2 linked regions of the Notamacropus eugenii genome follow. The protein of the gene in region 2 purifies or fractionates together with the protein of the main gene of each other region. This does not show direct contact. Links are inferred from orthologs where the notes say so. Each region holds a gene or a part of one and is shown on either strand. Other genes may lie near its edges. The genes, in order: UBXN8 and TBC1D15.

What was found.
Region 1: the proteins of TBC1D15 (region 2) and UBXN8 purify together in Homo sapiens (affinity purification with mass spectrometry; 3 studies listed by BioGRID and IntAct, counting the BioPlex papers as one, with this or other methods). This does not show direct contact. The link is inferred for Notamacropus eugenii from reciprocal best matches to the Homo sapiens genes TBC1D15 and UBXN8.

What each region holds. Positions count from the first base shown.
Region 1 is NC_092878.1:167,289,760-167,297,550, reverse strand, and holds the start of UBXN8 (UBX domain-containing protein 8), read left to right. Parts: upstream 1-4,773; 5' UTR 4,774-4,843; coding exon 4,844-4,931; intron 4,932-5,076; exon of another isoform or gene 5,077-5,657; intron 5,658-7,241; coding exon 7,242-7,364; intron 7,365-7,791. Other genes in the region: GSR (glutathione reductase, mitochondrial), read right to left, coding at 4,088-4,219. UniProt on the Homo sapiens protein: Involved in endoplasmic reticulum-associated degradation (ERAD) for misfolded lumenal proteins, possibly by tethering VCP to the endoplasmic reticulum membrane. May play a role in reproduction.
Region 2 is NC_092874.1:249,723,009-249,731,075, reverse strand, and holds the start of TBC1D15 (TBC1 domain family member 15), read right to left. Parts: upstream 3,257-8,067; 5' UTR 3,245-3,256; coding exon 3,143-3,244; intron 2,619-3,142; exon of another isoform or gene 2,374-2,618; intron 1-2,373. UniProt on the Homo sapiens protein: Acts as a GTPase activating protein for RAB7A. Does not act on RAB4, RAB5 or RAB6.

The sequences.
Region 1 (7,791 bases), on a different chromosome or scaffold from region 2:
CCCAACACTATGCCTGGTACATAGTGAGGACTGTCTTTTCACCTGTCTTGGATCCCTAGTGCCCAACACCATATCTGGCACATACTTGGGATTATTTTTCCACCTGTCTTGGATTCCCAGTGACCAACACTATGCCTGGTACATAGTGGGGACTGTCTTTTCACCTGTCTTGGATCCCCAGTGCCCAACACTATGCCTGGCACATACTTGGGACTGTTTTTCCACCTGTCTTGGATCCCCAGTGCCCAACACCATGCCTGGTACATAATGGGGACCGTCTTTTCACCTGTCTTGGATCCCCAGTGCCCAACACGATGCCTGGTACATAGTGAGGACTGTCTTTTCACCTGTCTTGGATCCCCAGTGCCCAACATCATGCCTGGCACATACTGGGGACTGTTTTTCCACCTGTCTTGGATCCCCAGTGCCCAGCCCTATTAAGAGGAATTTAATAGATGCTTGTAGACTTGACTTTTTCACTGCCTTCACTCTAGACCAAGCCCTCACTGGTCTCTCCTCACCATCCTTCCTACATGGGGGCTGCCACTGTCACTCCCATCATGTCACCTACCCTGCCCAAACACAGGCACATGCCCTGACAGGTGGCAGGGAAGCCGGTCACACCAGTGGGTGGCCCATACAGAATTCTCAGAGGGCAGCGATCGCTTTGTTCTTCGGCTCTGTACCCCCAGCACCCAGCTCAGGGCTGGACCACCAGGTTCACTTTACAATATTGGCATTTCCTCAGTCTTATTCTTTCAGGATCAATTTCATGTGTTCTTATACCTGAACACAGAAACGTCCCAGGACTAGGGGCATGTTCAGTAATCCATGGAGGCACTACCCATGAAGGCTTGGCCCAGGCCAAGTCCTGGGAGTCCTGGGAGACAAGGGACCAGAGCTGTGGGGACAGCTGGGGATAATGCTGCCTAAGGTTCCCAGGAGAGATTGGGGAACAAGGAAGGAAGACAGTATTTACACAGGTAGAAACAGTCTGGGTATGACAGACTCTGGTTAGCCTCTCCAGACAAGGGTTTGATTTCCTGGCAGTGGGTAGACAGTAACCCTGTGTGAACCCTCCCCTCACATAGGAGGGGGTCCCTCCCCCAACCACGGCCCCATCCCCAGCCAGGCAGCAGTTCTGTGGGGCTACCTCCTCCCTCCCTGTCAGATCACCAGTCTGTGCTCTGGGGCAGTGACCAGGAAAGAAGAGCTCCACACCCTCATTTTTTATCTTGGGTGGGATGAATGAGTCACACAGGACCAGGGAATGAGGAAGGGCTTTGATGGTCTCTTAGAGCTTTTCACATTCCCTTACCCTCCAAGGCCTCCTGAGCCGCCATTTATGGAGAGGGCCACCCTGCCCCAGCAATCCTTGAGCCAGGCTCCCCAGCTCCTTGCTCCCTCACCCTTCTTATGCAGCAGTCTTGTAGATTCTTCCTCCCCACCTTCTCTCCATCTCCCCCCTGCCTCTTCAGACTTCACTGCTCCTCAGAGACTGTAACAGGGGTGGATAATTCTAGGGGAGTCCCCTCCCCCATCGAGCCCTGGCCTTGCCTCTCTGGGGTATGGGATTGTGAACCGGGGAAAGCCTTCTCCCAGTTCCAAGGGCTCAAATGCACAGCAGAGGTGGGGGCTAAGGGGGCCACTGGACGCCTGCAACAGTGAATAGGGTAGATGATGAGAGCCAAGCCAAGGCAGGTGGACCCACAGAGTTCAGGGACCTGAGGGAAGGGAAGAGATCCATGCAGGAGGGACCATCTGCTGGGAATGGAAGGAAGGCTATGGTCCAGCATCCTGAAAGGTGGGAAGGCCCAGAAGAAGCTATCACCTTTCTCCACCATGTTTATTGGGTGTCCTGGCCTTTGTCAGGAGTCACAGAATTTGAGAAATGGAAGGGACCAGCCACTGTGGAAAAGAACATGGAAGTGTCCCGGAAGTCACTAACTTGGGTATGCTCTGGGACTGAGAGACACCACAGCTAGGTGAGATAGAGAGAGAGACAAAGAGGCAGAGAGAGAGAGAGAGAGAGAGAGAGAGAGAGAGAGAGAGAGAGGAAGAGAGAGAGACAGAGACAGACAGAGACAGAGAGACAGAGAGAGACAGAGAAGGAGAGAGAGCAAAGAACAGGAAAAGGATCCCTGGGAATGGCCAAGCACGTGGCGATGGAACACCAAGGTGCTGTAAGAATGATGCTGTGCCTGTTTCTGCTTTCACAGCACAGCTAATTCAGAAATAGGTTTTACATAATCGCACATGTGTAACCTGTAGCAAACTGCCTGCCATCTTAGGGAGGGAGAGGGGAGGAGAGAGAGGGGGACAATTAGAAACTCAAAACCTTATAATGCATGCAAAAAACTGCCTTGAAAAACAATGAACTACTAAGAGAGGATGCAGGGTCTGGTTTCAGAGAAGCCCGAGGAGATTGGTACAAACAGAGGCAGAACCAACTGAAGGTTCTTCCTGGCATCTCGCAGCCCCCAGCTGCCCTGGCTCTGCCTGCTAAGACCAGGCAGACAAAGGTTGGTCCCTCTTTCATGGCTGTAAGCGACACTCTCTGGCCCCGAGATCCCTTTTCCAGGATCACCCTTTCCTTTAAGATCTCTAAACCAGGCCTGCCCCGTGCTAATTGCCCCTCCTGGACACTCTCCAGCTGGCCAACTTCCTTCTCAAACTCAGGAGCCCCCATCCCCAAGCATGATACTTCAGGGAGGGCAGAGGACAGAGGGATCATCACCTCCCTCTTGGGGACTGGGGGGGGGGGGTGGCAGCTCTCTCTTGACCCTTCCCAAGAGAGTGCCAGCTTCTCAGTCTGCCATGTGCCCATCTTCCTCCCTCTGCCCATACCATTTCCCTGTTCTCATTCTATGTTCTCCCCAACAGTGCAGCTCCAAAACAGCCTGCCCAGCTCCTAGCCTGGACCCCTGAGCCCACCAGAACGTCACTCTTTCCTTCTAACTTCTGACTTAAGCAAAGACCATCCCCCCAGGGAGGTGACTGCTTCACCCAAGGTCACAGGTGGGTCAGAGATCTAGCTAGAACGGAGAGGGACCTCGGAGGTCATCTTGGCTGGCTTCTCTCATTTTACAGAAGAGGAAACTGAGGCCCAGGGAAGGGCACAGGGGCAAACAGCAGAGTTGGGAACAAACGCAATTCTCCACTGAACATCACAATCTACATTCTACACTACTCCTTTGGGCCTCAGTTTGCTCGTCTGTAAAATGGGCTGGGGAAGAGGGTCATGGGGAGTCCAACAAAGCTGAACAACAGAACCTGAGGTCAGGATGGGTGATCTTCGAGGTTCCCCAGGCCCTCCCAGGGGGAAGAAAGCTGGGGCCCCGAGGGAGGAGGGAAGAGTGACTCAAGCTGGCAGTTGGCCTGCTGTGGTTCAGTGTGGCAACAGCCCGAGGGGCCAGGCAGGGGCTGAGTCTCTGGAGATGCCTCAAAGAGGCACTCTGGGGAGCAGGGAAGCAAGGCACGACCTTAGCCAAGCCTCTACCTAGAGCCCAAGTGCAGGCCGTGCAGGACAAAGGGCACTGAAGGACCCCCCCCCTCCGTGGGCTTGGTTAACAGAGGTCAGCTCTCCTTCCTTGACAGGGCCCCAGGAAGGAGGGAAAACAGCCCCTGTGCACAAGACATGTATACAACGTGCACAGGACATATATACAATGTGCACAAAACGTATACAATGTGCACAAGACATGTATACAATGTATACAAGACAGATACAATGTATACAAAGTAAGTGGAGAAGGGGGCCTGGAGTCAGACGGTAGAGACGGACCTGATCTTGGGACATTGGTCCCTCCGTCCGTCTGTCAGTCAACAAACATTGATGAAGAGCCCGCTGCGCTGTGCTAACAGACAAGTCCAGAGAGAAGCGGAGGGGGGGGGACCCTTCGCCCGTCTGCCTCAGTTTCCTCGTCTGTCAAAAGGAGCAGGACAAGGGACGCAGGGGGGGCCCCCAGGCCCTCCCTTCCACGGCTGCCTCTGTACAGTGCGGGGTTCGGCCTCTGCCGCCGCCCTCCCAGCCCTTCCCCCTCCCGCGGCGGCCCGGGTCTCGCACCGCCCCCCTTCCCGCACTCACGCAGGTGCCCCCCAGCTTGTGGCTCTCCACCACGGCGGCGCGGGCTCCGAGCTCGGCCGCACGCCGGGCGCTGGCCAGGCCGCCCGAGCCACCGCCGATGACCAGGAAGTCGTAGGTGGCCGATGGCTCCATGGCCCCCGCCACCCCGCGGCGCCCGCACTCGAGGGCCGCAAGCAGCAGCCGGGGCCAGCGCCGCGCCACGCAGGTCACCACACCGGCCACCACGCCAAGACCCACGCCGGTGCCGCCGCTCCACTGCCGTCCTTCCGCGCGGCAGCCCGTGCTGGGGATGGGAAGAGGCGGGGCGGGGCCAGGGACGGGGCGGGGCGGGGCGGGGGCGGGGTCCCGGCGCTGCAACTTCAGCGTGACTCAGCAGGTGCCAGAGCCCCGCCTCTCCCCCCCCTCCCCACCATGGGAGGGGGAGGGGGCAACTGAGACAGTCTGACTTTGGGCCCGGGCGAGCCCCACCCCCTCCGCTCCCCCTCCCCCTCCTCCCCGAGCTCCCGCCTTTCCCCTTCGGGACGCCACCATGTCTATAAACCAAGTGGCAAACTCATTTCCACACTGACGTCCCGGAGGCTTTACGCCTCCTCTGCGGGGGTTCCCCCCCTTCCTCCCTCAGATGGTAGCAACCGGGCAGTGGGCGGGACGGAGGCGGCACGGAGGAGGGAGGGGCCCCGCCAGACAGAGGCGCGGGGGGCGGGGCATGGAGAGGGGCGGGGCCGCGCTTGCGCTCGGGACGCGGCCTGAGGCGCCATGGCGGCCCGCGCGGTGTGGCTGCTGTTGGCCATCCCGGCCGTGCCCCTGCTCTGCCTGCAGCTACGGAGCGCGGGCTTCAACCCAGGTAAGGCGCCGCCTTTCTCCTCCGGTGTCCCTCCGCCTTCCCCCGTCCTCGTGCGGACTACAGTTCCCAGCATGCTCAGCCACCCACTCGCACGGCAAGGCGTGCTGGGAAGGAGGCGGGGTCACTCCTGGCGGCCCCGCCCCCGCACGGTTCCGCCCCTTCCGCCGTCGTCGGTCGTGCCTCGTGCGCTTTCCCTCGCTCGATGGTCGGGCGTCCACGTTGTTCCGCGCGAGGGCTTGGTGCGCATCGGCGGTGGGAGTCCTGGCCCCAAGGGCTGTCATGACCTTCGTTCCGCCATGTCCTTCCAAAATGGCGGCCCTTCGGAAGCTCCCCCGACCATGTACGAGTGTGCCTGTGCTTCCGCGTCCCCTCCAGCATGGACCGGTGCCGCTTCATTGCGGTGTTTCAGAGGGGGTGGCTCGTTCATATAAATTATCACGTGTGATCATATGTATCGCGGCATTACGGTACCGTATTAACGTGAATCGTTAGCGGCGTAGCGGTTTGGGTAACTTCTTCCCCTGGCTCTCCAACACCACCGTGATCCAGGCGGGCCGCGCTCAGAAGTGCGCCCCCTGCTCCAGACCGGGGGTTCAGTCCTTCTTGGGGCTGGCCACGCCTGCGGAGCCCTGCTCAGAGCGCCATTCGAGGTCGGTAATAAAGCAAAGCGATTGTGTTGAAGCCGATTGGTCAGAACGTTGGAAAGCCACGTGCTCAGAAGCCCGGGTAGGCCCCGAGCTGGGAGGAGAGCGGCGTGCTGAGGGGCCCGGGGCGGGGGGCGCTGGGCGGGGCCTGGAGGGTGGGGCCTGGAGGCCTGGGCGGGGCCTGGAAGGTGGGGCCTGGAGGCCTGGGTGGGGCCTGGAGGGTGGGGCCTGGAGGCCTGGGCAGACCCTGGGGGGGGCCTGGGCGGGGCCTGGAGGGTGGGGCCTGGGGGCTTGGGCAGGGCCTGGGGGCTTGGGCAGGGCCTGGAGGGTGGGGTGGGGCCTGGGGGTGGGGCCTGGAGGCCTGGGCGGGGCCTGGAAGGTGGGGCCTGGAGGCCTGGGTGGGGCCTGGAGGGTGGGGCCTGGAGGCCTGGGCAGACCCTGGGGGGGGCCTGGGCGGGGCCTGGAGGGTGGGGCCTGGGGGCTTGGGCAGGGCCTGGAGGGTGGGGTGGGGCCTGGGGGTGGGGCCTGGAGGCCTGGGCGGGGCCTGGAGGGTGGGGCCTGGAGGCCTGGGCGGGGCCTGGAGGATGGGGCCTGGAGGCCTGGGCAGACCCTGGGGGGGGCCTGGGCGGGGCCTGGAGGCTTGGGCGGGGCCTGGAGGGTGGGGTGGGGCCTGGGGGTGGGGCCTGGAGGCCTGGGCGGGGCCTGGAGGGTGGGGCCTGGAGGCCTGGGCGGGGCCTGGAGGGTGGGGCCTGGAGGCCTGGGCGGGGCCTGGAAGGTGGGGCCTGGAGGCCTGGGTGGGGCCTGGAGGGTGGGGCCTGGAGGCCTGGACGGACCCTAGAGAGGAGGAGGATGGAGGCCCTTGCTCGAAAAGCCCCAGCAGAAGACCTGGGAAGGCCAAGTCCACCAAGGGAGCTGCGTGGGAAGAGAAGGGGAAGGGTTATCGCAGGAAACAAGCAGCGAAAAGAGCCCGAGTGCGCAGGCGCGGCTGGGTCAGCCAGGGGCGCCCGCAGGAGGAGCACCCAGAAAGGAGACGGGGGCTGGAGAGAGGACATGGGGATCCGAGGAGCCAGGTGGCTGAATGTCCCGCTGGTGGCCGCGAACGAGTGCTGCTCGAGCCCCGAGAGGATGTGCCCACCCTGGGGCGGGCCGAGACACGGAACCGAACCGCAGACCGGAGCTTTGGTCCGCATTTCCCCCCTTCCACATCAGGACAACAGTCTGCCCTTTGTGTCTATGGTGGGAACGTGGCTGGTTTTCTGGGTTTTTAGCCCAATTTAGTGGCCGTTCACTTTGCGCTGAATGATTCTGGATGCGTCTCCGTGACTTGACCGGAAGCGGGTCCTCCTCCGAGTGCTTGAATCCAGCATCGTTTGCCCCGGTGGGATCCGCTGGTCCCCCCCAGGCACTCCCCTTCCCGCTCTCTGGATCAGGTGGTTTGGGAAGAGGGTGCCTTCTCCGCTCCTTGGCACACTGGACGTGTAGACGCGGCTCCCTCAGCCTTGTACCGGCCGCCCTTCGCAGCCAGACTCCTCGGAGAAAGCCGTCTGCCCTTGCCCTCTCCACGCGGTCCCCTCCTCCTCTTCTACCTGTGGCAGGCTCTTTGATCTCACCTTAATGGCCAGATCCCACGGCCTTTGCTCACCTCTCATCCTTTGCTTTCTCACAGGATGGAAGGATGTCCTTCTGCTGGGTGGCCGGGGTCTGCTCTTTCTGGCTGTCCTGGCTTTAATTCTTTTGATGACCACCCCGTGGCTTACATCTCCAGCTCCATCCAACACGTGTTTGACAGGTAAGCTGATGCCACATGACGAGTTCACTTAGGATTTCCGATTCTCTGGCTTTTCCCGGCATGTGCTTTGTCCAATACGTTGCTACTCTGTGACCACGGACAGAGAATGGATGCTCTGGGCCGCCATTTCTTCATCTTCAGAGATGCCTGGGTGGGACCATATCATTCCTCCCCTTTCTCACCTTGGTGATGCCCTGCCGTGGTTTAGGCAGAGTGACCAGTAGAAGCTCGGAGCCACGTAGTGGAAAGAAAGCACTGCCATCTCCCACAGGCCCATTTTAAGATGGGTTATGGATGTCAGCAGTTGTGGTGAGGCCAGCTTCATACTTCGCACATGATATATGTACCAAGAAGGTATGTTCAGGATGTGGTCAAAGGTTATGAAGCCTTGGGCAAGAAAACAAAGATGGAAGATAGAGGGCACAGG
Region 2 (8,067 bases):
TTTCCACTTTTTTAACCTCACTCCACTGACACATTATTTCCAAACCGACACTGACCTTCAACATCATGACCAAGGCAAAACAACCTTATTTATTTAAATTTCTGTAGTGATTGGTTTTTAGTCACTAAAATATTCTCCTAGGCTCTGTCAATAACAAAGATACGAACCATACAGACAATTCCCTGCCTGCTCAGGACCCAAGTGAACATTTTTGGATTGTAGATGAAACCTTTCTTGATCCCAACTACTAGTGCCCTCCCTTCCAAACAACCTTGTATTTAACTAACCTGCATTCATTAACATTTTTTGCTATATGTACTTATATATGCATTTCTCATCTCTCCCTTTAGAATGCAAACTCCTTGAAAGTTGTTTCTCCCATTAAACTGTGAGATCCTTGAGAGCAAGAACTGTTTTTTTCCCTATCTTTGCATCCCTAGGCATAGCAGTACCTGGGAAACAGACTGATCTGAGAGTTCGGACTGTTTCGTTCTTTTTAGTCAGAGTCTAAGAAACAGGAGTCCAAAACTGATACTGAATGGATGAAGATTAGTTCTCTCCTAATTTCTCAGCGGAGAATGATCTGATATTTGGACAGTCTTGTCCTCTTCCCCAGGGGTTTGGAAAGACTGTATATCAGGCCTGCAAAAACTGTGGGCCTCTGGCGGCTGGCCAAAGGATTGCCAGGCAGCCTGAGAAAGATGTAGAGGAAAACATATTCTACATTTTTCCCCAGGGCACTCCAAAATCCTTTGGCAGGCCACAGGTTGTGAGGGCCTGCTCTCTGTCACTGAATATTCCCTAGTCATAAAAGGGCTGAAAACTCCTGCAGAAGTCCAAACAAGGGGAGAGGAATATTCATAAAATGAAGCTTTAATGTATAAACACTTAAAACTAGTCATCGGTACTTTGCAATGTACTAACAGATATCTTCCTTTTTTCAAAGTGCTTTACTTACCGCCACTTTAAGGATTTATGTAGTACTTTATGGACTGAACAAAGCTTTCTTCCCAACAACCTGCTTAAGCAGCCAGTGTAAATTATTAGCCCCATTTTACAGATTAGGAAACAGATCTGGGAGTTTTATTGCTTTGCTAATGGCCATATGTGTCCTGCCAGAGAGAAAATTCAAACCCAGTGTCCTGACTCTTTTATTATCCCCATTTACAGGTGATAAAAATGGCACACAGAATGGAGATACCTCAGAGCCATGGTTACAGAGATCTCAATTTTCTAGATTCCGAGTCTTTACACTAAATTACAAAAGCCCCCACGTGGTTGAGAGTATTGCTATAAGGACAAACAACTTTAAATCACTTATTTGTCTTTCATTCTTTAAGAGCCCAATGTCATCACAGGTGGTGTCTGACTTATTCATGAACAGTATGTCAGGCCGAGCTTAGCAAAGTCATCATCCTTACTTTCTCCTCCAGAAAGTCAAGAAGACTTGGGATGGCCCAGGATACAAGTGAGTGGCCTTGGCCTTTCTAATTTAAGTCTTTCCCAGGGCTGTTTGTCTGAGTCAACTCTCATTTGATGACTAAAAGTCAGGTAAGAACTGAGACAAAAAATGGTCTAGTGTGCCATCATCACAAAAGTATCAATCTGGGAGGGAAAGACCCTCAGATTTTCTGACCTAATAGAAAACCATTGCCATTTACACTCATTTAAGCCAGCAAAACTAAACAATGAGCCAGAGAGGCTTGGGCTAGGGCCTATTGCTAGCCACTTTAAAGTCAGAGTGATTTGGGTTTAAAGCTTTACTCAAGTAGCTCCATTTGAAACAGAAATTAATCACTGCTAAAGTCTCTTTTTCCAGAGCTATATTTCAAGAAATCATAAATGAAAACTGAGAAATCTACACAGGACAAAAAATAAATCGTTCGCCTTCTGAAAACAAAAAAATAATAGTTTGGTTTTTTTTAATCTTGCTGCCGAAACTCAAAATCTTACAAAATATGACACCAAAAATTATATTCCGATGCACAAAGCACCCCCGTGCCAGGAAAGCGATGGCATCTTCCAGTAGGCATGTGTCTAGTGAAGAAAGGGAAGAAAGCCAGAGAACCAAAGATAAAGCATGTTCCTCTCTCCACCTGACATGTCAACAGGCATTTATTTATTAAGTAAAGGTAATCACAGACTTATTACCCAAGGAGACAATCTCAAGATGTTAAATTAGACACGTGTCTTTGGACTCGGCCTCCATGGGAACTAACAGCATATGTGTGACAAGGGTTTGGGTGTCTTCGGGGGTGGGGACCTAAAATGATTGACTGAAAGAAAAATTTAGGTAACCCACAACAAAATACTGTCCCAGAGGGGCTGAGGGGAAGGGCACCTTACTGAACACTGAGGACCGTACGTACTGACCCCAATTCCCGGGGTGTCGGACTGCCCCGCACACAGCGGGCCTGCGGCCTCCCTCGGTCAGCCCTCCCCAAAGCTGACCCCTGACCCAGAGGCCCCCCGGCCGCCCCACCGAGCACTGGGCCGAAGGAGGGACAAGAAGCCCAGCCGAGGAGGCAGCACGAGGAAGCGCAGCGAGGATCCGAGCGGAGGCTCACGGGACGGACTCAAAGCAGTCGCAGTCACAGCCCCAGACGACCCCCGCCCCCATCACCGGACACACCCCCTGGGCAAGGAGGGGAGGGGAGAGGGTGGCTCGGCCGCGGGGGATCACGGGAAGAGAAGGGACCCGACGGGCAACCCGCGAAAGAGAGAAAGGGGGAAGCCGGGCCCCGGAGGTTCATGGGAAGGGAAGGGAAGGAAGGGAAGGGGCTGGAAGCTCTACTAGCTAAAGAGAAGGGGCGCCCCAAGCGCAGAGGTTCACGGGCGAAGTTCTACACGCTCAAAGGAGGAGGGGGTGTAGGGAAAAACAGCTCGGCCGCGGAGGCCCACGGGAAGGGAAGGGGATGGGGCCGACGCAGGTACGGAAGCGGGGGGAGGGGGCAGCTGTCACCGCCACGTCCTCTTTCCCCTAAGTCCCGCCACCGGCTGGCCGGGCCAGGATTCGGAAGGGGGAGGGGAGGAAGGAAGAGCCTCCCGCCTCAGTCCAGCGAGGGGGGAGGGGAGGGCGTCCCCTCCCGCCGCCCCCTGGAGAAAATAAGAGGTGCCTTGGAGCCCCAGGGCCGTTATTTACCTTCCCGCTCCCGACACCCGCCGCCGCGGCCGCCATTTGTCCGCGCGTGCTTGTGATGACGTAGCAGCCTCTCACGTGCTTTGCTCCGACACACCACAACATCCGCCGAAACTAAGGGCGGAGGCGTGGGGGAGGGGCATAGAGAAGAGAACGATCTGCGCGTGCGTACTGGAGCTCTGTGGGGGAAGTAACCGTTCTCGCTTGGGGCGTGATTTGATTGGTCCTGGTGGATCGGGAGCCAGTATTAGGGGCCGTGTCAGTTTCCACACATCTCTCGCTTCAAATCCTTTTTCTCTACTTAACTGATTATCATCCTACTTCAAAAATCAATCAGTCCAACAAGATTTTTTAAAAAAACACTAAAGCTAAACAATCTTTAAATATTTATTAAGCGCTTCGCTACGTGCTGGGAACATAACTGCAAAAATGAAACCGTCCAGTGCTTACCTTAATGAGTGCCTTGCGTAGAGTAGACGTTTAATAAATGCTTGTGGACTTCCCTTCGAGTGTGGGAGAAAGAATGACAAAGCATTTAGGAAGTCTTTATGTTCAAAGGTACGTACTAAGGGCTGAGGATACAAGTAGAGAAGACAATCCCTGCTCTAGGGACCTGTGTTCTAATGGGGGACATAACACTTAGGAGAGGTTTCGTTTGTAAGCTGCTATATCCAGCAAAATTTATCATCATGACTGGTCCCCAGAAATAACTTAATTTCACCATTAGGAACCCCCCCCCAATTCTCAAGGAGGTTACGGACTAATAGGGGGAAATAACATTTATGGAAGATTTCAGCGGCAAGGGAGAAGGAAATGTCCCATGGTCGTTAAAGTGCAGAGGTGACACCTCTGATTTAATTTCCAGTGATTTGGTTCTGATGTGGAGCCATTGCTATTCCAAAGACTAGTCCAACTGGGGGTCCTGATCTGTCTCCATCAGAGTTCTCAGGGAGATGGTGGACCTGCAACTTCTGGATGAAGGAACTCCAGCAACGCACATCAGTTCCTTGGCAGCAACTGGTACAATGGAAATAATATGGGATGGGAGAATTGGAAGGGTTCAAATCCTGGCCCAGCTGTTTGTTAGCTGTGTGATCCTGAGTAATCCATTTAAACGTCTTTGAACCTCAGTTTCCTCAACTATGAAGTGAGGGGCACTAGACTGGGTGACCTCTGAGGTCTGTTCAAGCTCTAAAGCTACGATCCTAAATTTGTAATATTTGAAAGTTGTCTGGGACACGTGGAGAGGCAGAATGATTGCCCAGGGTCATACAGCCATCCTGTATCAGAGATGGGATGTGAAGCTTCAAGGCCAGCTGTTATACCATGCTACGTCTCAAATAAATTTTTGAGCTAGACCTTAGAAAATCCACCTCTGTTCTCTTACAAATGAAGAAACTGAGGCTCCAAGAAGTTAAATTCAGACTCTTATCACCTCTTTTCAGGATCAATGCAGTAGCATCCTAATATGTTTCCCTGCCTCTTCTCTTTCCCTACCTCAGCTTATCCTCCACATCACTACTAAAATGATTTTCTTTAATGCAAAGGTCAGACCATGTTACTCTCCTCTTCAAGGAACTGCCTCTTGTTTTGTCAAATATAAACTTCTGTTTAAAATTTAAAACCCTTCACGATGTGGATTCCAACCTACCTTTCTAGGTTTCTCTATATGATTTCCATGATCTATCTTCACGATCTATTACCCACTGAACCACATTCACATAAGCTCTTCCCTATTTATGGAATGTTGTCTCTTCTGGCTCTGCTCCTTAGAATTCCTAATGGCTTTCAAAGCTCAGTTCACAAGTGCCTCCTCTGGCATTGAGGCCTTCCCTGATGCCACCCCCCCTCCAACTGCCAGTTACTCCCCCTAAAATTAACTTGTATGTATTTGCATAGTTCAGATGTGTGTGTGTGTGCATATATATATACATATACATAAATATGCACATATAGATGGGTAGAGCTAGAGATATCACACTAGGTGCTCTGAAATGTACAAAAATGAACAAGAAGAGATGGTCTCCACCCTCAAGGACCTTACAATCTAATAGGAGATCTAAGTACAAAAATAAATATAAGACAATATGTGATAAGTACCATTTGAGTTAAAGAAACTAAATGCAGGAGTATAGAGAGTAGAAACACTTCTGACTGGGTGGCAATGTAATAGGAGGCTTTTTAGTTTAGCCTAGAAAGTCTGATAGGATTTCTAGATGCAAAGACTGGCCAAGACACATTCCAGACTGAGGAAATAGACTTCCTCTCTTATTCCTCAGAGTATCAGTCACAAACCTTTTGCTTACTCCACCCATCACACTTAAAGCACATGACTTGGCCTCTGGCTTGAGTAGGAAGATTGAGGCCATCTGTGCCAGTCTGATAAGACCAGCTGAGTGCTGTATTATTTCTGTCAAACCCAGCAAAACTTTTTCTCAAGTATTCATGTTTGAACCAAGAAAGGAATTCACACTCACTATTTGGTCAATCAAGCATATATTTTGACAAGGATACTCAATACAAACTTGGGCATTCTGCCCATAGTCACCTGTGGCTCTTAGATTCCCCAAACCCTGGGGTAACTTACTGTCTACTTCAGATGGGAACCAGCCAGCTTCCATGAAGTGGCACAATATTCAATTCAGAGTAAATAACTAGGCAGGGTTTTTAGCCCCAGGAACATCAGTGTCACAAGTCTAGGTATTACCAAGACTACCAGGCTTCTTCTTTGAACTTGGTCCGGTTCAAGGAAAGGTGATATGGTGAGCTAATACAAGTCTGACTACATCACTTTCCTGCTAAAGAATCTTCAGGGATTCTCTGTTGTCTCTGGGATAAAATACAAACACCTTTGTCATTAAAAGCCTTCACAGTCAGCTCGTCTCTCTTTCCATGTTTAATTCCTATTATTCCTACTCACCCACCCTCCATCTTCACACATAATATATTCTTTGACTTTGTAAGGAATGTATACTTCAGACCTAGACTGTTCCCGGTCCAAAGAAGAATCCCAAACTCCATGGAAGGCTCAGTTCCAATCCCTTGTTCTCCAAGAGGCCTCTCTTGGTCCCCCACCCCCACTGTGGGTGCTACTCCTTTCCCATACTACCAAAGACTCCATAGTCATTGTTTGTTGTTGTTGTTTGTTTTTTGGAGGCAATCCAGGGTTAAGTGACTTTCCCAGGGTCATACAGATAGTAAGTGTCTGAAGCTGCATTTGTACTCAAGTCCTTCTGACTCCAGGGCTAGTGTTCTACCCACTGCACCACCTAGCTGCCCCCATGGTCACTTGGTACTTATGTTCTATGTGCGTTTCTTCCAACAACATGTTTTCCCCAATAGAAAGCAAACTGCTTCAGGGAAAGGACTATTTTGTCTTTAACTTTGTTATCCCCAGCACCTAACACGTTGCTTGGCACATAGAAGGGCAGATCAGAGCTTGTTGAATTGAATTGTATATCTTTTCTAGAACTAGGAGAAAACAAGATCCTGTAGGTCCTAGTGCAGTGTTAGCACATTTAAACTTTAGCACTGTTTAAGCTTTAACTGCGTAAAAATGCAGTAAGATTTTGGGAATACCTCATAGATCCCTGAACCAGTATACATTTAATATTATATCTTATTCCTAAGCAAAAGTATTTTAGGGAGTTTCAAAAATGGGAACCAGGTCATATAATTCTCCAGTAAGGTCACCCAGATAAGATTATGGTTTTGCAGTCACGTTACACACAAATTAGTTATGGAATGAAACACACATGGGGAGAAAGATAGGCATTACATTAGTCATCATGTGCCTCAGAGTGAGGGTCTTATCTGGAACAGATGAGGGAAGCAAACACAAGAAAGGAGCATTTCCAGGAAATGGCTAGGTTGGTGCCTATATGCGGGGGCATGACCAAGCAGTCAGGATATGAAAGTATTCTGTCAAAAGTTGCAAAGGTCTATAAGCAGCCATGTGGCACAGTGGATAAAGCAATGGACCTGGTGTCAGGAAGATCTGAATGCAAAACCCACCTCAGAGACTTAATAGCTATGTGACCGTGCAAAGGTGATTCACTGCCTCAGTTTCCCCAACTATAAAATTGGAATAATAATAGCACCTACCTTATTGGGTTGTTGTGATGATCAAATGAGATAATATTTTTTAAGTGCTTAAAGGCACAGCGCCTAGCACATAGTAGGTGCTTCTTTCTTTTCTTCCTGTATTGGCCAGGATCGCTAGACAATGACATGATCCAATAGGAGCTCCTCGATTCCCTTGTCCGTACCTCAGAACTTCTCAACAGCATCAGCTATCCTCACCTTCCCTTCTTTCTCTAAGAAAGAATTGTTTTTACTCCTTGCTAAAACTAACGGTTTTAATCTATCTCCATGGTTGCGTACTGTCCTGCTTCCTTCAGATTTTTGCTCCAGCATCCACCCTTTCTCTCTCATGCATCTTCCATCTCTTCTCTGGCTTCAGGTTTCTCCAATCCCTAATCCTGAAGAAATCTTTTCTTGACCCTTCTAGCCCTTTCAAATATGCCATTTCTTCTTTTTCCTCCTGTTGCTTGTCATATTTCTTTAAAAAGTTGTTTTGTGACATAAATCAGAAGTAAGAAAATAATCTATACACAGACCGCAACAATACATATAGAATAACAATCACAAAATAATCAAAAATTAATGATACGAATTGCAGAAAGCAAACTTGGCCCCAAAGAAGGGATATGAGAAATCGTCTTTGCAAACACAACTAGTCCATGGGATGGGATATTGCATGTATTGTCAGATTTTTTTTTCAATGTTTTGATCAGTTTTGCTGGATTTCCCCCCATTTTTTTAATGTCTTTGTCATAATGCATGGCTTTCTGGGAGGTAAAAGGGAAGGGATAGAGGGAAAAAGTAAGACAAAGTTAAAAAACAAACCTTATCAAGTTGATTAGGTT